3 separate regions of the Mus musculus genome follow, and regions 1 and 2 are each reported to be linked to region 3. Evidence: microRNA targets listed by miRTarBase, many of them from high-throughput screens and not tested one by one. Region 3 holds a microRNA gene; each other region holds the end of a gene's coding sequence.

Evidence for each region. Region 3 holds the annotated microRNA mmu-miR-709 (GGAGGCAGAGGCAGGAGGA, at 3,709-3,727, shown strand). A microRNA usually pairs through its seed, bases 2 to 8, with sites in the 3' UTR of a target mRNA and lowers its output. Matches are read on the target gene's strand: a 7mer-m8 pairs with bases 2 to 8, a 7mer-A1 pairs with bases 2 to 7 and ends in A, and an 8mer does both.
Region 1: miRTarBase lists Cnnm3 as a target of mmu-miR-709. Seed matches in the 3' UTR shown: 7mer-m8 at 3,640-3,646, 7mer-m8 at 3,445-3,451 and 7mer-m8 at 3,439-3,445.
Region 2: the mRNA of Tle2 is a reported target of mmu-miR-709. Seed matches in the 3' UTR shown: 7mer-m8 at 971-977.

What each region holds. Positions count from the first base shown.
Region 1 is chr1:36,524,329-36,531,610 of GRCm38, reverse strand. Cnnm3 (cyclin M3) reads right to left here. Exons shown (of 8, transcript NM_053186.3): 8 at 3,374-6,445. The coding sequence ends at 6,381. It overlaps Ankrd23 (ankyrin repeat domain 23), which reads left to right. Exons shown (of 9, transcript NM_153502.4): 9 at 1-1,418. The coding sequence ends at 65. Among named protein-coding and RNA genes, the nearest start is that of Ankrd23, 7.8 kb to the left of the region's middle.
Region 2 is chr10:81,589,832-81,597,113 of GRCm38, forward strand. It overlaps Tle2 (transducin-like enhancer of split 2), which reads left to right. Exons shown (of 21, transcript NM_019725.2): 20 at 394-521; 21 at 726-1,014. The coding sequence ends at 501. It overlaps Tle6 (transducin-like enhancer of split 6), which reads right to left. Exons shown (of 14, transcript NM_053254.2): 5 at 6,014-6,424; 6 at 5,649-5,724; 7 at 5,492-5,574; 8 at 5,377-5,414; 9 at 4,496-4,754; 10 at 4,164-4,411; 11 at 2,882-3,023; 12 at 2,055-2,208; 13 at 1,429-1,505; 14 at 1,074-1,308. The coding sequence ends at 1,204. Gm32024 (a long non-coding RNA gene) reads left to right here and starts at 4,734. Exons shown (of 3, transcript XR_003949022.1): 1 at 4,734-5,527; 2 at 6,074-6,501.
Region 3 is chr8:84,082,459-84,089,458 of GRCm38, forward strand. It overlaps Mir709 (microRNA 709), which reads left to right and starts at 3,641; the gene lies at 3,641-3,728. Rfx1 (regulatory factor X, 1 (influences HLA class II expression)) reads left to right here. Exons shown (of 21, transcript NM_009055.4): 6 at 190-303; 7 at 1,624-1,716; 8 at 3,115-3,209; 9 at 5,248-5,614.

The DNA.
Region 1 (7,282 bases), not on the chromosome of region 3:
ACTGGCAGCGGGGCATCCGGGACGCACTCCAGGCCCACGTGGGCCATCCCCGTACCCGGTGCTGATGACTGGCACCTGTGGATCACCCACGGCCACCATTCCACACCCATCCACCAGTCCTAAATAGTTCTTTATCCCAGTCCTAATTTCTCTCTGGCTTTGCTTCCTCCGGCCTGAAGCAACAGGTAGAGCAGCCTCCTGGGTTTCAGTGAGGAACCCTGTTCCCTGCCAGGGCTGGAGCCGAGGACCACAGGGCAGCAAGAAACAAAGGGGTCCAGATGAGGGCCAAGGCCAGAGCACAAGTGAGCTGACCAGTGCTACCCTCAGCTGGGTCTAGGCCTCCGTCTACCAGTCCTTAGACCACGGACTGGTCTTGGCCTATTCTCATCTAAGTAGACATTCAGATGTGGCCAGCAGCTGCATCCAGGGCATGAGAGAAGCAGGCTGAGTGCCAGGCACCGTGCAGGTCACTTCCGTCCTCTGGGCAGCGTTTCTCCTGGGACTTCATTTCTACCAGTAGCAGCCCTGGTAGTGTCTGGCAGTTCTAGCCATCTCGTCTTCAGAGCTCTGAAGGTGGGATTCGGCAGGCTGAGGGGCATGTCAGCAGGACTGAGGCCCCACAGAAGCCAGGATCTACCAGGTTGCTCCAGAAGCTGGAGCGTGATGAGCTGGAACTAGCTAGCGTTACTCTGGGGAAGCTCTACCTAAAGGCTCCAGGCAGCCTTGCTTACCGTATGTGAGGTCAGGGTACCGGGTGCTGGGGATTGCTTGTGGCCCACTCACCTCGTGGGGCGGTGGCCCGCAACCCTGGCTTACCCTGAGGCTCTAATGCCCCCTGGTGCAGGAGAAAGCTCCGGGACTAGGCTCTGTAGGCCCTACACACTGAGGAGTCCTGCACCTTGCTTTGGGACAATGCCAACAGTATACATCCCTCTCTGGTCCCATGCCAGCTGGTAGTGTAAAGAGGACTTCACACAGGCTCCCGGGTGGCTGCTTTCTCTCCCAGCTGTTTCCAGTTTCACTGGTGTAAACCTGTACTGCGGGCAGGGCCCCCACTGAAGGCTGAGTGAAGGGCAAAAGGTGAAGGCCTCTTGAACAGCCCCAGCTGATGCCCATTTTGCAGCAGTTATTTTTTGATTAATTTTGGCAGCCTATGGCCATTGTTATGACGACGACTTGAAGAACCTGACTAAGTATAACCTGACTAAGTGTTCCCTCCAAAGGGGCATGTATCTTTCCATGGGGCAGGCCCTGCCCTGTCATGCCAGCCAGCGTGCACCTTGACACTGGTGCCGTGGGCAACACAGACATTCAAGCCTACTCAATATGACAATTCCTCAGAAATGAGGACACTTAGCTGACACACAAAGCACCTTTTTATACAGATCAATGTTTTCTCATTAAACTGACTCTATTCACCTCAGCCTGGTTGCCTCATGGGGACTGGGAGGAGGCCAGATATTGGGCTACACAGTAGAAACCAACTGCAAAGACTAAGACCATCACCTTCCCAACTGACAGCATGACATGGTACCAAGTGCCATGTGTGCTCGCACGTGCGCACATGCATTTGCATGCACAAAGGGGGCCTGCCTGGTTTGGGATCTCTATCTTTGCCCCTTGATGGACAAATTAAGAAAGCCACACTTCTCAACTTCAGTTGTGCTTAGAATCACTACACATTTTTAAAGTCATGATGTCTGCTGCGTGTGGTGATGCACAACTTTAATTCCAGTACTGATGGGTCTGCTTCTGAGTCCTGAGTTCAGGGCCTGCCTGACCGACAGGTAAGCTCGAGACCAGCCAGGGCTACAGTGAGACCTTTCTAACAGTCCTAATGGTATTAGGTCAGCAGCCCTGAAAATGAGATCCAAGTATTGGTTGAAGACACGGTAATCTACGAATCTGAGCAAATTATAAGGGATCCTAGGTGGGTGGTGGGTTGGAAGTACCGTAATAGTCCAGGATACAATACAAACAAAAATCTATCTCTTCCCTAATAGTAGTGAACACACAGATACAAAAACCATAGTTCTATTACAACTGTTTAAAACTAGATAGGGCTGGAGAGATGGCTCTGCAGTTAAGAACACTGACTGCTCTCCCGAAGGTCCTGGGTTCAAATTTCAACAACCACACGGTGGCTCACAACCATCTGTAATGAGATCTGACGCCATCTTTTGGACATCTGAAGACAGCTACAGTGTACTTACATATAATAAATAAATAAATAAAGAAGGCACAAGATATCAGCTCTCCCCAAGATGTTAACATACAGGCTTAACACAGTCCTACCAAAACCCAAGCCAGATGTAAACAGGATTTTTCTAAACTTTGTAAGCAAGTGTATACCCCAAACAATCTGAACCATATGTGGTTCCTTCATATATATGTATGTGTGTATATGTGTGTATATATATATATATACATACATACATACATACATATATATATATCTCCCAGCACTTGAGAGGACTCGGATTACTTTGAGTTCCTGTCTAGGTTGAACTGCGTGAGACTTAAAAAGAAAAAAGGAACTAAAAGGCAGGTATGGGTCTCATGCTTGTAATCTCAGCATCTGGGAGGCTGAGGCAGGGCACTCTGAGGTCAGCTTGGCCCACAGGCTGTCCCCTCCCTTTTTTTTTTTTTTTTTTTTTTTTCTTCTGAGACAGGGTTTCTCTGTATAGCCCTGGCTCTCCTGGAGCTCACTTTGTAGACCAGGCTGGCCTCGAACTCAGAAATCCACTTGCCTCTGCTTCCCGAGTGCTGGGATTAAAGATGTGTGCCACCACACCTGGCCATGTTTTGTTTTGAGACAGGATTTTGTCCCGGAACTCACTCTGTAAAACAGGCTGGTGGGCCTTGAACACAAAAGATCCACTTGCCTCTGAGTGTTAGGATTAAAGCCATGCACCACACCCAGCCTGGTACCCTAGTTTAAGAGAAAAGAGGGGGGGACCTAAAGTGGGTTCAGCTTTAGTGATCTGGAGTGCAGTAGACAGAAACTAACATGAATTAGCTGACAACTCAGGGTGCCACACAAATCCACCCAAACATACTATGGGGAAGATTTACCATTTGAATAGGAGGCCAGGGCTCAGAAAACTTGGCAAAGGGCCAAGAGTTTAAGTTTTGCAAGTCACCAGCTGTCCCCCAGCTCTTCCAAAGGATCCAGGTCCAGAAGGAGCCAACGTCTGCTGGCCTCTGCAGGCACTAAGCACAGACATGAAAAACACACACATACAAAAACCAGCTAGGACCCAAGCCTTATTTAAAGAAACAATATTTCAAAATGGACCACAAGCTTACATGTAAAACAAACTATTAGGAAGAAAGGCAATTGAGACAGATATGGTAAAAGTACAATGGAAAATTTGATAAAAATGAATTTAATCAGGCCGGGCAGTGGTGGCACACGCCTTTAATTCCAGCACTTGGGAGGCAGAGGCAGGTGGATTTCTGAGTTCAATGCCAGCCTGGTCTACAGAGTGAGTTTCAGGACGGCCAGGGCTACACAGAGAAACCATGTCTCGAAAAACAAAACAAAAAAAAGAGAGAGAGAGAGACTTTAATCACAAAAACCTTTAAGATGAGCCAGGCGTGGCAGAGCATGCCTTTAGACCCAGCACTTGAGAGTCAGAGGCAGTGAATCTCTGAGTTTGAGGCCAGCCTGGGCTATACAGACAAACTCTTGGCTTAAAACACCAAAAACAAACAAACAAACAAACAACAAAAAACAACCCCCCCCCAACCAAACCCTCCACCTGTACAAGACCTTGCGGTGAGAACACAGTTAATGTTACTGAGATGGAGGCCCATGGGAGCCTGTGGCTGCTTGGTCCTTTAGACCACACACTTTACAGAGGGAGAACATGGCAGAGGTCAGAGCCCTGATGAACTCAGGAGAACCCACTAACAGAGCAGCCCAGGGATTCAATCTTTAGTATACAAGCTCTGGGGTCACAATTCAGATCTAGAATACAGCACTACACAGATAATCTTTGCAAACCAAAAATCCAACGAAGGATTTTGGAATCTAAATATCTGAAGAGTTCCCAAGAGAGTTCCCAAGAGAAAAAAAAAAAGATGGGGGTGGGGTGGAGATGCACAGACACATGGAAAGGAATACAGACCAGTTGCCAAGCTGAAAACACGAACAGGCTCATGGACGAGACCAAGGAAAAGCAGACAAGAACCACAGACAGCAAAGGACTGATGGTCATTGGCCCATGGGTCGGGGTGGGGAGAAACCAGATCATTCCTACATTTCCTGTAGGAATTTAAACTTGTGCACAGCTCCGCTCCAAGGCCAGGCAGGTTCTTTTTTAAGGTAAACGTCATGGCACCTGTGTTGCTGGCACATCCCAGGCGGACACCAGTCTTCACACCGTATCTGTACGTGAATGTTCATAGCAGCTTTATTTTGAAAAGGCCAAAAACTGCAAACAACCCAGATGTCCTCTGACAGGACACTGAATACACCACGGGACATCATTTGGCAAGGAGGAGCGAGCCACTGACACACTGACCTGGAACAGCCTCCAGAGCACTGTGCTGGATGAAGTCAATCCCAAAGTCCAGCTGCACGCAACACAGCCCCTCAAACGACATTCTTGACATGACAAAATGACAGAGCTGAGGAACAGTCTATGGAACAGTCTATGGTCCCAGGGCTTAGGGCGGGGGCAGGTGGCTCCGAGGGACAGTCCAGCGGGTTAGTATTCTCCAGCAGTTACTTGGGTCTACAGAGGTGGCAGAGTGCAGAGCCCCACAGCCCTGCACACTATGGTTAGTGACATGGGAGCACTGGGGAAAGCCAGATAAAGGGTACAAGGGCTCTGCGTCTTTGCCACTTCCTATGAACCTGCAATTACTGTAGTTAGGTCTAAAGAAGCGACAGCTCCAAGTGCATCCTGGCATCTGGATTCCAATTGCCAGAAATCAAAAAAAAAAAAAAGTGAGATCTAAATCAAGGCCTCAGTTGAGTACTCCAATGTTAACATTTGAGTTCTGGTAAATGCAACAAGGTTATCTAACACGTTAACTTTAGGAGGTGATGGTAAAGGGCATAGGGGACTCTTCTAGGAGGAGGTTAAAACCACTTCAGGACCACAGCCCTGGGGGTTCAAGGTGAGCATACGCATCCAAGGTTCTAACTCGATTCTGAGGTTCAGCCGAAATTTAGAATTCTGTTTTGGAGACAGGTAATTCAAAGTATTTGTTTCCAACCTGGGTTTGTTCTCAGAGTACATTCTGTTATAATATTTTTTTCAGCAAGCGTACCACTGTTCTCTTAGCTTCCAAGTCTCACAAGGGCCCATATTCTTTTAAGAATGGTTCCAGAAATCCGCCCTTCCCACCCCAATCTATTGTCCCAGAGCTGAAACTGTGGAAAAGTATAGGTAAACTAGAAGAGAAAGAATCTTTCCACCCGTGTCTCTAAAACATCACTGGAAAGACAAAAGCACACAGAGTTTGAGTATTTCAGAGATACGAGAAAACCCTGACTTCTCAGCAAGTGACAAGGACGTTGCAGGCTTACAACCGCCTCACTGACTGCTGCTCCACGGTGCACTGCTGCACACCTTCCTGGGTGCTCAGGGCAAGAGCACAAGACAGGTACAGCAGGCGCCACGGCCCCAGGTCAGTCAACACTGACCTTTGGCCTTCCACAAATGACCTCAAACAGAAATCGACAATACTGTGGTGGCGCCGTGCCCAAGTGGGAAAGAAATGCAAGGCGACCCTGGGCCAGCCTGCTCATGACTTGAGGAGCCAGAGGGGCTTCCTCCACAGGAGGGAGCGGAACCGGGGCACAGATTATTGGGGAGCTGTGCTCTTAGATTTGGCACATGAGAAACTGGGGTACATGAATCAAAATATGGCATTGTAGGGGAAGCCAAGAAGTACACGGCAGGGCCATGGATTTGAACACTTCCATCAAAACTCAGCACTCTTGGCTTGCTCAGAAAGTGGCGCCACTGACAGAGGGTTGGCCAACCAAAAGCAGAATGAGCACAGGCCAGGGCCATGTAAAGGCAGTGGCTGTACCCGCATGGCCCTGGGCTCAGGGAGACACATAAACACACTGTGCTGTTACAGCACCGGGGAAGCTGGGAGCTGGGGACTAGAGATGACGCTGTTTCTTTTGTCCCCTCGGAAACAGGCTTCTGGAGGGCCGCTTTGTCAACCCCATCTCCTCAAGGACAGCAGGACGGCTGGAGGCTCTGGCACCGAGGCGGCTCAGGACCCACAGCTTACAAGGGCCATCTAAAACGTGGCCAGGATAGGTGGGGACAGGCTGGCATGAAGCTCCTGCTCGGCTCTCCCAGCTCCCCAAACGCTTGTCCATTTCCAGCTCGGGGCTGTCCGGCAAGCAGTTACACTCCTGGGTTCCGCCCAGGGCTCTCCTCCACTGGGATGCTGGGTCTGCTGTTGGTGGACCCTAAGGAAAAGGAAAAAAGAATGGCATTCACACTTGTCAAGGGAGCGGGCTCTGCAAAACTAAGTACTGAACCTTTAGGACAAGCAGCAGCAGCCTGGACAGATGGGCCTCAGAACACCTCAGGAACCAGCAAAGCCTTTAGGAACATGGTCGGCAGGCTTCAAGAGAGAAACTCACTGCAAGGCCAGATGCCACCCATGAAGGACAAAGGCCGGCTATAGACTATCCTGTTATTGGTCTACGGAGTGGTGTTTCCCTTCTTTGGGGCAGGAGGGGTTGAGACAAGGTCTTACAGAGCGCAGGCAGACCTTGAACCCTAGATTCTCCTATCTCTATCTCCTAAGGACTGGAACTAAAGGTGCACGACCACACTTTTAGACTTAATAACTGTATTCATTTCATTCTTCAAAGTAAGCCAGCTTCTCTTATACTGATTTTGGTGTGTACATACTACACACACGAGGGTAAGTGTGTGTCCTGACGTGCATGGAGGTCAGAAGACCATCTCTGAGAATCAGTTCTTAGGTCCTGGGGACTGAACTTGGCTCATAAGGCTTGTCGCCAAGCACCTCTACCCACAGAGCCATATTGCCAGCCCTTGTTTTGTTTTGAGACAAAGTCTTGTTACCATGTAGTGCAGAGTGACTACAAACTCAGGGCAGTCCTCCTGCCTCATCCTCCGGGGTGCTGAGATTACATGCATGAGCCATGGTACCTATGGGGTGCTATGAGTCTTTACTTCAGGAAGCTCAGGCAGCTATGCTGGGCAAAAAGAACCTTCTGTGGATGATCAAGAGTCCCTGTGCTACAGCTACAAGGAAGCCTATTGTTCCAGGA
Region 2 (7,282 bases), not on the chromosome of region 3:
CCTAACCATCAAAGACCCCAGGAGTCTCCAATCCAGAGCAGTACCATTATCAACCCTTCACATGTCAGGGATACCCCTGTCCCTCCAGGACACGGTGACACAGATCTGTAATCTTAGCACTTGGAAGGATGGGGCAGAAGTATGGTTGGTTTGAGAGAGAATGAGGGAAGAGGAGGGAGGTACTTTGCTGTGAAGCCATCTGAAGTCGAGCTGTGATGAGTTAGGTACCATCTCTTAAGTCACCAGTCAGGCTAGCTCAGTCCCCAGCTACAAGGCCCTGGCAACAGTCACATCTACCAGCCTTTGTTGTCCTCCAAGCCCCATGCTTCTGGTCTGTAAACTTGGTGGTGGTGACCATGTGGCCACCCCTCACCTCCCCTTTCTCTGTCCCAGTCCAAAGAATCATCTTCTGTACTGAGCTGCGACATCTCCAGGAATAATAAGTACATCGTGACAGGCTCAGGGGACAAGAAGGCCACTGTGTATGAGGTGGTGTACTGAGCCATCTGCTGCCTTTTCAGGTCACCTGCCCTGGATGGCTGGCCACTCGGGACACGGGCCCCTCTGCTCATACCTGGCTTGCTCCCTCCTGGCTGGGTGGGGCTGGGGCACTGGGGAAATATAACACATTTATCAACTTGCTTTCTTTCTGTGTGTGTGTGAAGCGTACAGGTGAGGGACCCGACTGGGTATCAGCCTTCATTTCTCTTTGCCCCAATTTTCAGAGTGTGGATCTCACTAATGAGCCTCACAGACAGGTCAACATGCCCCAGGAATCCTCCTGTCTCTACCTACAGAGCTGGATCAGGGATTTACACTCACTCCTTATCCTGCCTGGTGTGGGCTTTACCAACTGAACCATCTTCCTGGCTCTCTTTAAAACAAAAACTGGGTGGGGCTAGTTTCTTAGTGTAGCACTGGCTGTCCTGAAACTATGTAAACCAGGCTGGTCTGGAACTCAGAAATCCGCCTGCCTCTGTCTCCTGAGTGCTGGGATTAAAGGCAAACACTCAGAAGTTGGAGGGCTCAGAGCTACAAAGTTCTTCCAAAACCTGGGTAAAGGACAAATCTCTGCCATTTCAATTGTTTTATTACACGCAACTCGGGATCTGCACACCCCATGGAAGCCTCTAGAAGCACTGCAGACCCATCACACCCATTGCCATCCACCACTGTGCAGTTAGGGGAGGGGAGTTGAAGTTGTCAGTACTTGATGTGGTACACCGAGGCACAGTCCCTGGATCCTGTGATGATGAGCCTGCCGTTCTCAGTCATGTCGAAGCATCTGACAGGGCCAACCTCGGGGACCTGAGACAGCAGCTGAGTGAGCTCAGTTCCTCTCCACCCAGAGCTTCAGAAATGACCCCTGTGGGGATGATGCTGAGGGTCCCGCTGACAGAGCCCCCAGTGCCCCCTGCACATAAGTACCTGGAACAGTTTTGCTCCGGTGGGCATGCTGTGGACCGTGATGAAGTTGCCCATACCGACGCTCGCCCACCACTTGCCTAGGAGGAGGGGAAGGAAGACAGGGAGGTTACAGCAGACCCCACCCATTCACTAACATCCAGCAGCACCCAGGAGGCTGAGGCAGGAGGACTGAGAGAGTTTGAGATGAGAATGAGTCTAGGCTACATGAGACCTTGCCTCAAAGAACAAGGCAGAACAGCAAAAAGTTTTACTGTTTTGTCTTTTGTTATGTTTTGCCGTCTGAAGCCTTTTATAGCTCAGGATAGCCTTAAGCTCCCCAAGTAGCCAGAGATGACTCTGAACTCCTGATTATGATTATGTTAATAAAAGATGTTGGAGTGTGGACAATACCCAAGCCCTGACTGGGCACTGAGTAAATAGCAGGGTCCTCTGAGAGGCCAGTGGCCACAGTGTGCACCCATCCTCAGTGGACTGGTTTCCCAGACAGGGTTTCTTTGTGGAGTCCTGGCTGTCCTGGAACTCTGTACACCAGGGCTGGTCCTGAACTCAGATCCACCTGCCTCTGCCTCCCCAGTGCTGGAATTAAAGGCGTGTGCCACCATGCCCAGGCTCAGTGGACTCCTTACCATTTGGGGAGAACTTGAGGCCTAAGATGGTGTTGTCCTTGGTGTCCACAGTGAGCACCTGGTCCCTCTTCCTGCTGTTGAACAGGCAGTGCTGGCCATTGGCCAGGCCCAGCAGCAGCCAGTCTTCGGTCGGACTGTGAGCCAGGCTCATGATCTGGGTGAGCCAGGCAGAGGTAGCAATCAGACCCCTGCTGGGCGGCCAGGCTGCAAGGTCCCCGCCCGAACGCCCGCCCACCCAATGACTCACTGACTGGCTGTGGCCCGACTGTGTCTCCACACCTTCCTTCTGTGAGGTGTATGAACTTCACAGGGTTAACTATGGCAGTGACAAGTCTGTCTCCCTGGTTGGTTTTATTGGGACATGGTCTTGCTCCATAGCCTAGGCTGTAGTGACTTGCCACATAGCCCAGGCTGGCCTTGAACTCCAGCATAAAATATTTGCAACGATAGTCTTTGAGACCGGCTTTTATGTAGCCCAGGCTATCCTTCAGGTTCCTGTGTAGCTGATGACCACCTTAAACTTCTGACCCTCCTTCCCCCAGCTCCCTAGTGCTGAGTGACAGGAAAACATTCTACCCCCTAGATCCAGCTCCTTCTCCACTATGTAGCCCAAGATGGACTCACTTTTTCATCCTCTTGCCTCAGCTTGAGTACTGGGACGACAGCCTTCTCCACCATTGTCCAGTATGACAAAAGGTATTTTAAAGACCCCTGTGACTTCTCAAAAATTCCTTGAGCTGACCTGGGCTGTTCCCTCTCCTGACACTGAGTGCACCTTGTCATTGTACCCAAAGGCCCACGCCTGTGCAGCCACCCTTCCTGTGCACCTGGGACTGGAACAGATGCTCCAGTGACACCTTGGCCATCCGCAGGTCCCAGCATCGCAGGCAGGCGTCCAGACCCCCTGTCCAGATGTTGTCATCTTTGACCACAAGGTTCCTGGCCGAATTGGTAGGGCCTTTGAGGTTCCTGGCCAGAAAGCAAAGGGGTAAGCCTAGGCTCGACAGTCCCTAAGATTCCCTCAAAGCCGTGGGACTAACCCAACCTGAGGTACTCTTAACACCTTTGGCAAGAAGGCAACAGTGACATCATCCTAGTCCCTGCCTCTAAAAGGTAATGTTCCAATACCTATAAATCCAGTACTGAGGAAGTTGAGGCAGGAGGATTGCCATGAGTTCCAGGCCAGGCTAGGGTACATAGAGACCCTGCCTCAACAATGAGGGTGATGGAGAAGACCCAAAGCTGGCTGTGGTGACTCACAATTGTCATCCCAGCTACTCGGGATTAAGAGAGGATGATTGCGAGTTAGAGCCATCCTAGGCTTCAGAGCAAGTTCAGCATCATCCCTGAAAACGTCACCTGATCCGACCTTAAGATAAAATCTGAGCAGGGCTTGGCAGCACAAGCCTGTCATCCCAGCACTCTGGAGGCAGAGGCAGGTGGATCACTGAGTTCCAAGGCTAGCCTGGTCTACAGAGTGAGACCCTATGCCAGATAAAATGAATAAAAGTAAAAGTGTTGACCAGATGGCTCCCAGGTCACTCAGTGGGTAGAGGAGAGCCGAGTTCCAAGAACCCACTTAGTGGAAGAACAGGCTCCTGCAGGTTGTCCTGAGCCTCTGTTCTCCCTTGTCCTACAAGAATTACAATGAGCTGGGCAGTGGTGGCACACGCCTTTAATCCCAGCACTTGGGAGGCAGAGGCAGGTGGATCCAGGCCAGCCTGGTCTACAGAGTGAGTTTCAGGACAGCCAGGGCTGCACAGAGAGAAACCCTGTCTCGAAAAACAAAACAAAACAAAGCCCACGAAAAACAAGATTTACGAATAAGCCAGGCACACACAGCACTTGGAAGGTGAAGGCAGGAAGATAAGGAGAGTTTAAGGTTCTCCTCCTCTGTGCTTGAGGACAACCTGGGCTACATGAGACACTTACCCTAACCTAAAGGTAAACAAGCAGGCTGTGGGCGTGGTCAGGGATAGGGTAGAGTCCCACCCAGAATCCCCTAGTGAGGGGACTAGGGTGTGGCTCCACTCTGGGGGAGTGGGGTTTGGGTAAGAGCTCAGAACTCGTAGTCCGCAGCTCACAGTGCTCCTGTCCCTGTGTCTGCACCTGACTATTTCCTGAGTCCGTAGGTCCCATATCCTGACCGTGCCATCTGTGAAGCCGGCAAGGGCCATGTTTTCCTTTGTGTTGGCCAGTGCCTGGCAGGACAGGCCCTCGCAGGGCAGCTGGCACTTCTCATACAGGGATGGGGCTGCCAGGTCCCACACGATCACGCCAGGTAAGTTGTATCCACCCGCGAACAGGGTCCTGCTGTTGGAGGACAGCAGGCAGGTGCGCAGGTACACCTTGTTGTCCTGCAGAGGATCGTCCCGGCGAGTGAGGGTCAGTCGTGGCTCTTCCAGCACCTCCCATCCCCAACCCCGTCCCTGCCCCGTCACCTGGACGCTGCATTTCAAGTGGCTTTCTGGGTCTCTGTCCTCGGCCACCTGGTTCACGAGGTTCCACACCTTGATGCCGCTCTGGCTGCAGGTGAAGACGTGCCGCGTGAAGGAGCTCACAGCTACCACCAATAGCAGTTCCTGGTGCTTCAGCACACGCACCTTCTGCAGTGCTTGGGGGACAGTGAACCTCTCTAATTGCCAGAGTGCTGTGCTAGGCTGATTACAGCTGCTCTCTAAGACTTCAGAGCCCCAGGACCTAGGGATATGGGACACAGAGTGAAGTTTTCAAGACAGGGTCTTAGTCCAGGTTGGCCTTGAACTCTGTATGGAGCAAAGGCTGACCTTGAATTCCTAATGCTCCTGCCTCTACCTCATGAGCGCTAGGAGCCAGGCTCCAGTCACATTCTTCAGTTCTTGCCACAGCCACACATGCGTCCCTACTCTAAAACGCTTTGCTCAAGTCGACTGAGCTCCTGTGCACCCTTATAGACCTAATTATTACAGCCCCTTCTCCAAGACATCGTTCTCCAACTACAAGACTGAGAATCTAGGTTGAGATTTAAGTGAGACGTTCCTTCTTTAACCCTTTACAAGTTGTTCTTATATTTACTCATTAATGGGGTGTGGGGGGGTGGAGGGTAGAGAGGAGGCAGTACAACCTGCGGGAGTCATTTTTCACTTTCAACTGTGTAGGTCCCAGGGATCAAACCCAGGCCTAGGCTTGGGAGCAGGCACCTTTACCTGCTGAGCCCTCTCACAAGCCCCTCCATCTTCCACCACCAGTTAAGGACATGGAAAAGGGACAGAGACAGGGAGGCGGGGTGGGGGAGACAAGGGTGAGGTAACCCCGCTTTCTCCCTGCAGAGGCCAACACTCACAAGGGCTTCAGAAATTTATCAGCTCTTCCAGAAGATTCCTGTGGTACAAAGAAAGAAGCTGACGCTGCTGGCTTGTGACCTCCCCTCCATATCTGCATCCAGGTCTCCCACTCACCTGCGTCTCAGGTTGGGGCCGACTGACGTCTTCTTGGTAATAATCTAGAAGAGCTGAGGGAGACTTGATCAGGAAGGGGTCGGCTGTGTGGAGGAGACAGGATTCAGGGGTGACCCAGGAACTATGGCCCTGCCCTCCGAGGCCCCACCCCTCTCACCAGAGTCACTCAGGCTGTTTCTGTGCCTGGGCTGAGGTTCTGGTTTAAAGTCACACAGGCCTGAATCTTTGCTTTCCTGGGAGACAGAATTGGGTCAGATGGGGGACACGTCACCCCAGGGGGGGACACCCAGCAGATGCCTGGGGGTTCCTGGCTGCAGTGGGGATGTTCCTGAGGGGTCAGAGTGCAGGGATGAGGAAGGAGGGTACTGAGGGGACACTATGGGGTAAAATCCTTTGGGGTTCCAGTCAAGGGTACTCACCAATTCCAGCAGCTTCTCTGTTGCCATGACAACAGGCAAGGTGGGGGGAGGAGAGAGGGAAGAAGAGGGAGAGAAAGGCTTGTGCCTGGGAGTTCCCCCTCACCTGTGAGGAATCCTCACCCCCGTGTTCCTGTTGGTTCTTTTGGCGGCTGTCCATGAAAAGTTCCCAGAGTCCCTGGATCAGGAAGCCTTGACAGAACTGGGGCTCCGCGTCCCAGACCGGCTGTGGGTCCTGGAGCTCATCACTCTCTGAGAGGAACCGACGTCTGGTGGGCAGCTGAGGCCCCGGGGTGCTTTTGAACTTGGGGTGCTGGAGGGCTGCAGACTCTGGGACCTGTTTGTCTTCTTCCTTAGCTGAGTTCTCTGTGGTCTGGGCAGAGCCCATTGGGGCCTCATGAGACACATGACATGGCCAACTGTCCCCTTCAGCCCCAACACCAATACTCATCTTGTTCCTCTCCAGGAGGTCTGGGGTTCTACTGAAGCGCTCTATCGCCTGGAAGAAGTTTTCTGCCTAGAACAAGTTAGGATGGAGCCTTGCTGAGGGCACAGATGTGGGGAAGGGGAGCCTGTGCCAAAGCTTGGCACTAGGTAAGCTCTTCCCGCCAGGATAAACCACACCCTACACATCCAGGCATGGTGGTGCACACTTGTTCACCCTTCCCTTCAAAAGCTGAGGCAGGAGGATCAGGAGTTCAGGGTCATCTTTGGCTATAGACCGACTTTGAGATCCTATCTCAAAAAACTTCAAAAAAAAAAAAAAGAAAAGAAAAGAAAAGAAAACCAGTAATCACCATCATCAAGGGCTTAGATGCAGCCCTTGATGCACAAAGCCCTGCCCCTCACCCCAGCAAGGCCTACAAAGGATTTAGTGTTATTTTTCACATTGGAAAACTGAGGCCCAGAGACTCAAACAGCAGCAGCAGCAGCAGCAGCAGCAGCAGCAGCAGCAGCCGCCGCCGCCGCCGCCGCCGCCACCGCCAGACACTGTTTTTAATTTAGCCCTGCTCCTCCCCTGGGAGCTTTTGGAGAGCACCCAGGATGGAGAGGGGAGCACCTGGGATGGAGCTGGAAGGCCCAGGATCTGCCTCCCTGGGAGATGATGGATTGCAGGGCAGCGCCAGCCTGGGGCTGCACAAAGCCCAGGGGAGCCCTCCCAATTTTTCCCGACTCATTATTGTGCAATTTACTGGCATTCTAGTGAGCCTGGAGCTCAGTGGGAATGGGGGAGAGAGCTGTTGCTCTGGGGGATTTGGGGGTATAAAATGGGGGGGGGGGGGAGGACACTGGCACAGCAGGGACTGGAAAGTGAGGCTCAGGGGCAGTTAAAAGCCTGGGAGCTTGGGAAGCCTGGAGCTGCGGAGAAACTGCC
Region 3 (7,000 bases):
GCCTCTGGCCCTCATGGAGGCTGAGACACCTGGAGCCCCATCTAGGTAGAGTCCTGCAGAGCAGTATTTGTGGCTGCTGTGGGCTATCCCACCCTCTCCAGAGTCCTTCTGAGGCAGGTTGTTAGAGCCTGGGTGCCCCAGACACAAGCACAGCTGGCCCTGACATTGTCTCTGTTTGTTCTCTTACAGAGGTCACCAGTGCAGGCCAACAACTCCACCAGCAAGACAGCTGGGACTCCTGCGGCCACTGTGCAGCAACTACAGGTCCACAGCGTCCAGCAGAGTGTCCCTGTCACCCAAGAGGTGCCTGACCAGGGCGGGCAGTAGCTAGGGCCATGGGTATAGGCCAAGTAGCCACCTATGTCTGGGTCCCTGGCCTGTGGGAGCTAAGCAGATGGACCCAGCTCCAGCCTACCATGTGAGCATTTGACGAGAGCCTCTCTCTGCCTCTATCTAGATTCAGCGTCCCTAGTTGTGACAGTTGTAGAGGTGCCTCACAGGGCACATTATGGCTTTGAAAACACACACTGGTAGGCCAGAGAGATTGCTCAGTGGGTAAAGCACACTTGCCACCAATCCTGATAACTGAGTTCTGACTTCTACACACACAAACACACACACACACACACACACACACAGAGACAGACAGACAGAAAAGAAAAGCAAAGCCTGCAGGGTGAGCATTTGCCCATCATACACAGGCCCTGGGTGTCATCTCTTTTCTGCAAAACCAAAAAGCCAGCTTTCTGGGGAGAAGAAGCACCAAGGCCTTCAGATTTTACATCTGTTTTAATTTTTCTTCAGATTTTACATTTGTTTTAATTTTTTTTTAGTGAGCATGGGTGTTCTGCTTGCATGTGGGTCTATGCACCATGTTTGTGCCTAGACGTGGAGTTAAAGCTGTGTCGGTGCTAGGAATTGAACCTGGGTCCTCTGGAAGGACAACCAGTTTCCTTAACCACAGATCCATCTCTTAAGCCTGCCATTCTCACGATGTGCTCAACCTTCCAAAGGAGACTGAGTTTCCTAATACCATCACAGTGGCCTGAGCAGGCCAAGATGCAAGGATGGTCTTGTATCTCCTTGTTAACTGCTTAACTCTTGGGATTCTTGGCTTTTCAAGAAAACAAGACATGGTTTGTGTGTCCTCATAGCCTCAACTACAAGAGACTCAGGCCAGATCCCCACTTCAAGGCCAGTCTGGACAATGTAGTGAAACCCTGATTCAGAATAAAAATTGAAAAACAGTGCTGGGGTGTAGATTAGTGGTAGAGAGCTGGCCTAGCATGCATAAGACCCCAGGTTCCCCAGTACCAGGCTGAAAACCTCAAATAGGCCCGAGCTGTAGGCTCTTCCCTAGAGGAAATGGGAACCTTCTAATTCAAAGGATCCACAGGTATTCCCTTCCCGTGCAAGAACCACTCTGAACCTCCAGATGGCAGAGGCAGGCAGTAAGAGACCTGGAAGGCCTGTATTAACTGGACCCCACACGGAAAGGCTGCTCTCTGTCTGAAGAATGACAGCCTTTCCCAAGACGGCTGTTCTGAGCATGCATGGGACAGGCTGCCCTAGTTGCCATGGTTACCATACTCGAACTTGCCTCTCCTTGCCCTTCTTTGCCAGAGGTCAGTAGTCCAGGCCACTCCACAGACCAAAGCTGGCCCGGTGCAGCAGCTGACTGTGCAGGGACTGCAGCCAGTTCACGTTGCTCAAGAGGTGCGTGTCCTATCTGTCTATGTCGGGGCAATCAGACTAGTCCTGGGCTGTGGCTGGAGGTACAGGCACCTAATCCAGAGGGAGGAATGGAGCCAGCTGGGGACCCTAAAGGGCAGACAGTGGGGGCAATTGAGGTTTGAAGCCCTGCAGAAGTGAGGTTTCACTCTAGCCCTCGGCTTCAGACTTCATCCTGAATCCGTCCCCATCCCAGCACCTGACCACTCAGGACACAGGTCTTGTTGAAAGAGGGCTGGATTCGAATTCCGCTTCTTTCTGATAGTGCCCAGTTCGTTCCTCTCTTCTCTAAGGAGATCCCAAGTGGGGAATCTTCATTCGGGTGGCCATGAGTTCACAGCCGGGTGATACCCCAGTGTCTCTGTTTGTCCTCCAGAGCTCAGGCAGTCAGTTTCCCGCTAGGAAGGCAGAGCAGCAAGAAACCCGGCCCACGCCGCCGCCGGAGCCGCCGCCCCGGCCTCCCGGGCCTGGGCCAGTGTGCTGCGGCGAGGTCTTGCAGCTAGGCAGCGAGCAGCAGCCGCTCCATTACGAGCCGGGTGTGGAGCAGTGGGTGGAGCTGGTGGGCATGCTGCCCCCACACCTGCTCCTGCCGCAGCAGAGGGTGGTCTTCGAGCCACAGCGGGGGCTCTCGGCCCGAGCCAGCCCCGACCTGAGGGTCAGGATCCACAGAATGCCCCAGGTGCTAGTGTTCGGCACCGCCCTCAAAGTAGGTGGCGGCGGACAGCGGAGGCACGGCAGGGGGCGGAGGGCGGGCAGGGGAAGGGCATTCAGCCCAGCAAGCCGCTTTGCCTCGCCTTCAAGTCCAGGCTCCCAGGCTTCGCCCCTGCAACCCAAGGCGGGTGGGGTGAGATGTCTTTACCCTGTCCCCCAAAGTGCTGCCAGTCATTCTTGTTCTGCCTCAGGGACTGGGTCCCAGACACGGCTCCTGCAAACCAGGGTTGGGGGTGGAGGTAGGCTATCCAGTACCTGCCCCTAAGGTGTTGTCAGTTGTTTCTAGTTGTTCTATCAACTGATCCCTCTTCAGGCTCCACCCCTAATCTGCTTGGGAAACCTTTTTGGTTTCCAGAAAACCCCCAGGCCCGGTTTTTAGATTGCAAACCCACCTCTCAAGCCCATTGCAGAATTCTGTCTGGTATCCCCTCCTTTGCTCATAAGCCTTAGAAACCTCTTTGCCAAAGCAGAGAATCCCAGCACCTCCTGTTTTCCAGCCACAACTGAGACCTGGCCCCACCTAAGCCTCCTACCTAAGCCTCCCACCTCTGGCCCATGTTGTTCAGAAAACCATGATGTGCAACCTTCTAGATGGGGATGTATGTGGGCATCAGTGAACCCGTGGGTGGTGGTCAGCCCTGACCCATGACCCTGCTTTTCCTCCTGCTTCAGGTACAGCAACTCCCTCAGGTGCCTGTCCCACACGTGTATTCCAGCCAGGTGCAGTACGTGGAAGGTGGCGATGCCAGCTACACAGCCAGCGCCATGTAAGTGGGCAGAGGGTGGAAGGAGGGCTCAGATGTGGTTAGGGCCACAATTCTAACTCCCAGCTGGCCCCCAAGGCTCAGGTGATAGCCCCACACCTGTGGGGTGCCAGGAATATAGGCAGCTGGTAGCAGAAGAGACACTGGCCCATTGGGAAGGCACCTCCACAAATTAGGAGCTGTGCAGTTAGATGGATCTGGATTTTAGGCAGGAAAAGGGGAAAGAAAAAGCATACATATATGTATTTATACATACATTTTTACAACATAAACTTTTTTTGAGACAATGTCTCTCTGTATAGCCCTCACTGCCCTGGAACTTGATCTGTAGACCAGGGTAGCCTTGAACTCAGAGATTTGCCTGACACTTCCTCTCTCGTGCTGGAACCACAGGTTCTCAATCTGACCCTCAGTGTCCCACAGAGTAATTAGTGTGTCCCGTTTCTCTGCTTCTACTCAGAAGTGCTCTGAGCATAGAACTGTCCTGTTTGAGCAGCACTGGGGAGGCAGAGGCAGGAGGATTGTCTTTTGTTATATTGACTTATGTGTGGGGAGAGTGCATGTGCTGTGGTGCAGGTGGAGATCAGAGAACAACCTAGAGGAGTCCGTTTTCTCTCTCCTTTACACAGGTTGCAGGGGCAAATCCAGTTCCTCGGGCTTGCATATTCTGTCTTACAATTTTTCTTGGGGGTTAGGGAGATAAATCAGTAAATGGCTTGCTTCTTGCTTATCAGACCTGAGAAGCAAGGTCATGACCTGAGGTCAGAACTCAAGTACTAGGTAAGAGGTTCATGTGGTGAGTCTCTGACCCCAGAGCCACCTTGCTGGCCCTCGTGTGTGTGTGTGTGTGTGTGTGTGTGTGTGTGTGTGTGTGTGTGTGTGTGTGTGTGTGTGTGTATACACATGTGTTCGAGTGTGTGCATGGGATGATGGGGGGGGGTTGTATGCACCATGTATTGAGCGTAGTGCCAATGCTAACACTGGAGTCTGTTTGCTGTGTGGCTTTGGGGATCAACCCCAGGTCTTCGGTCTTGATGGCAAACATCCCCACCCACTGAGCCACCTGCAAGGCTCAAGTTTTCCTGCTTTAATCACTGTCACATTGGGAGGGCTCAAAGAGCAAAAGTGAGAGGTGGCCCTGCCTGTCCCCTCCCCACAGAGAGCCTTCTGCCTACACACAGGGTGGTCTTTTCCTCATCCCAACCTCTCGTTTCTGGCTGTCCATCGGTACCCAGTGGAGGACTCAAGGCAATCATGTTGCGTCTCCTCTTCCTGCCTCACCCCCTCTAGTCTGCAGCCTGCAGAGATGGGCCCAAATGTTAGGGTGGCTTGCTTGCTACAGTTGCCCCTCTTAGATCTGCGGCTTATTACCCTATGCGGCACTCAGGACATATTCTGAGTTGGAGGGGCAGCTCCCTGCCAGGAAGAGGTAGCCAAGGCGGCCCCTCTGCCTACCCTGCAGTCCTTTGTACTTTGCCTTCCCTCCTGTATCTCCCTTCCCTGGACTGAGAACTGTTTGTCGTTGTTGCCGAGGAAGTACGTTCTGCATTCTGGACCCTGTCTTGTTTTCTCCTCTTCTGCAGTAAGGAAATTGATTCCTGTGCTGGAGTGCAGTGGTTCAGTACCAGTGAGTGCTGTGGCTCAGTACCAGTGAGGAGAGTGATTCCTGTGCTGGAGTGCTGTGGCTCAGTGCCCAGCGAGGGCTGGTTCAATGGCTCAGCAGTGCTTGCTGCCGGGCTTTACAGTCTGAGTTCAGTCTCCAGGACCCACAGTGGAAGGAGAGCCCCGCCTCCCACAAGTTGTCTCTGACCTTTGTGTGTATGCCACGGAACACATGTGCCCCTCTCCAAGTAATAAGTTAATATAAAGACATGTTTTAGAAAACAAGAAAGTGGTTGCCCATCCAGTGCTCAGGCTGTCCCCAGTCCCTTATATGTGAAGGTGCCACACTGGTGTTTCTGTGGCTTCTCTGGTCCTCTCCTGGAACCCCTGCCTCCTTGTACAAGGTGGTGACCATTGCTTCCTGTCTGCTTCTTGGCAGCCGCTCTAGCACCTACCAGTACCCGGAGACGCCTATCTACACGCAGACGGCAGGCACCAGCTACTATGAGGCTTCGGGCACGGCTGCCCAGGTCAGCACGCCGGCTACTTCCCAGACGGTGGCCAGCAGCGGCTCAGTGCCCATGTATGTGTCCGGCAGCCCAATTGTCGCCAGCTCATCCAGCAGCGAGGCTGGGGCCAGCAACAGCAGTGTGGGTGCAGGGGGCAATGGGGGAGGCGGCAGCAGTGGTGGTGGCAGTGGCGGCAGCAGCGGCAGCGGAGCAGGCACCTACGTGATCCAAGGCGGCTACATGCTAGGCAATGCCAGCCAGTCTTACTCCCACACCACCCGTGCCTCACCAGCCACAGTAAGTGTTCGCCTTATTCAGAGGTGAGGGTGGGGGGAACACTCGAGAAAAAAACCTGGCAGTACTCAGAGAGCAGAAGTTTGGCCCAAGGCATAGCTCAGTGATAGTGCTCATATGACCTAGGGCCTGGTCTCATCTGTGGTGTTGCCTTAGGTGTTGCTCAGCCACTCTGTACCTCAGCTGCTATGTGAAGCTCTGAGGACAGTTGCAGAAATGCCCTTAGTCAGAACTGGTGGTGGCTTGATAGGAAATGAGAGATGGGAGCTCCTACAATCACAGTGGCAGAGCTGAAGTCAGCCCAAGTTGGGCCCATTATCAGTCAGGACCATGGATCAGGTCAGAACACTGCACCCTCCACATGGCAGCACACCCTGGCTGCTGGTCTTCACTAGTTTAGTCTATTTAATAAACCACTGCTGCAAACCTTCTGATTTCTCAACCCTGTGGGTCCTCTGGTGCAGCGAGCAGGTCTGCTGAGAAGGTGCACGTTGTTTGTGCCTGGACTAGACGCCTCTCACCTCGGTTACTGTTGCACCCAGGTGGCTAAGGTCCCTGAGGATCTGTGTTGTGGGCTTTTCCTTTTTCAGTTTTATTTGAAAGACTTATAGGCTCACAGGAAGCTATAAATATGGTACCAAACCCTGGTTGGGTGGCACGTGCTTGTGTGACCCCGGCACTGGGGAGGCAGAAGCATGAGTGGGTGTGAGGCTCCAGAGTTCCGAGCTGGTGAGGGGTACCCAGCGTAGCCTTCTTTCATGACTCAGTAGGTAGAGGCCCTGGCTACTAAGCTTGATTACCTGAGTTCAATCCCTGAAAGCCTCGTGCTGGCCAAGACCCAGCTCCTCTGACTTTCACACAGACCCTCTGTACATAAGTAAGTAAATAAATGTCGTAGAACAATGAACAGAAAGGGGCTAAGAATGGCCCAGGAGAAGCATGCCTGCTGTGAGAACAAGAGGTTCTGAGTTTGGAGTCCCCAGCAAGTCACAGCCTATCAGCCCAACACTAGGAGGAGCAGGGATGGAGAGGCACCTGGGGCTCACCTACAGCCAGCCAGACATAAACTCCAGCTTCAGTTTGAGATGTTGTCTTAAAAAAATCTAAGGTGGGGCAAGAGAGATGGCCCGTGAGTGGGAGCGGCTGTTCTTCCAGAGGACCCAGGTTCAAGTTCCAGTGCCCACATGGACCTCACATTGTCTATAACTCCAGTCCTAGGAGATCTGACACCTCCTTCTGGCCCCTTTGGGGATAGGGCATGTATGGGGTACATACATACATGTAGGCAGAACACACACACATAAAATGAAAATGAACAACAAAAACAAGCAACTGAGTTAAGCAACACCAGGAACTGAGCAACCGAGGAAAACATCAGCTGCTAACCTT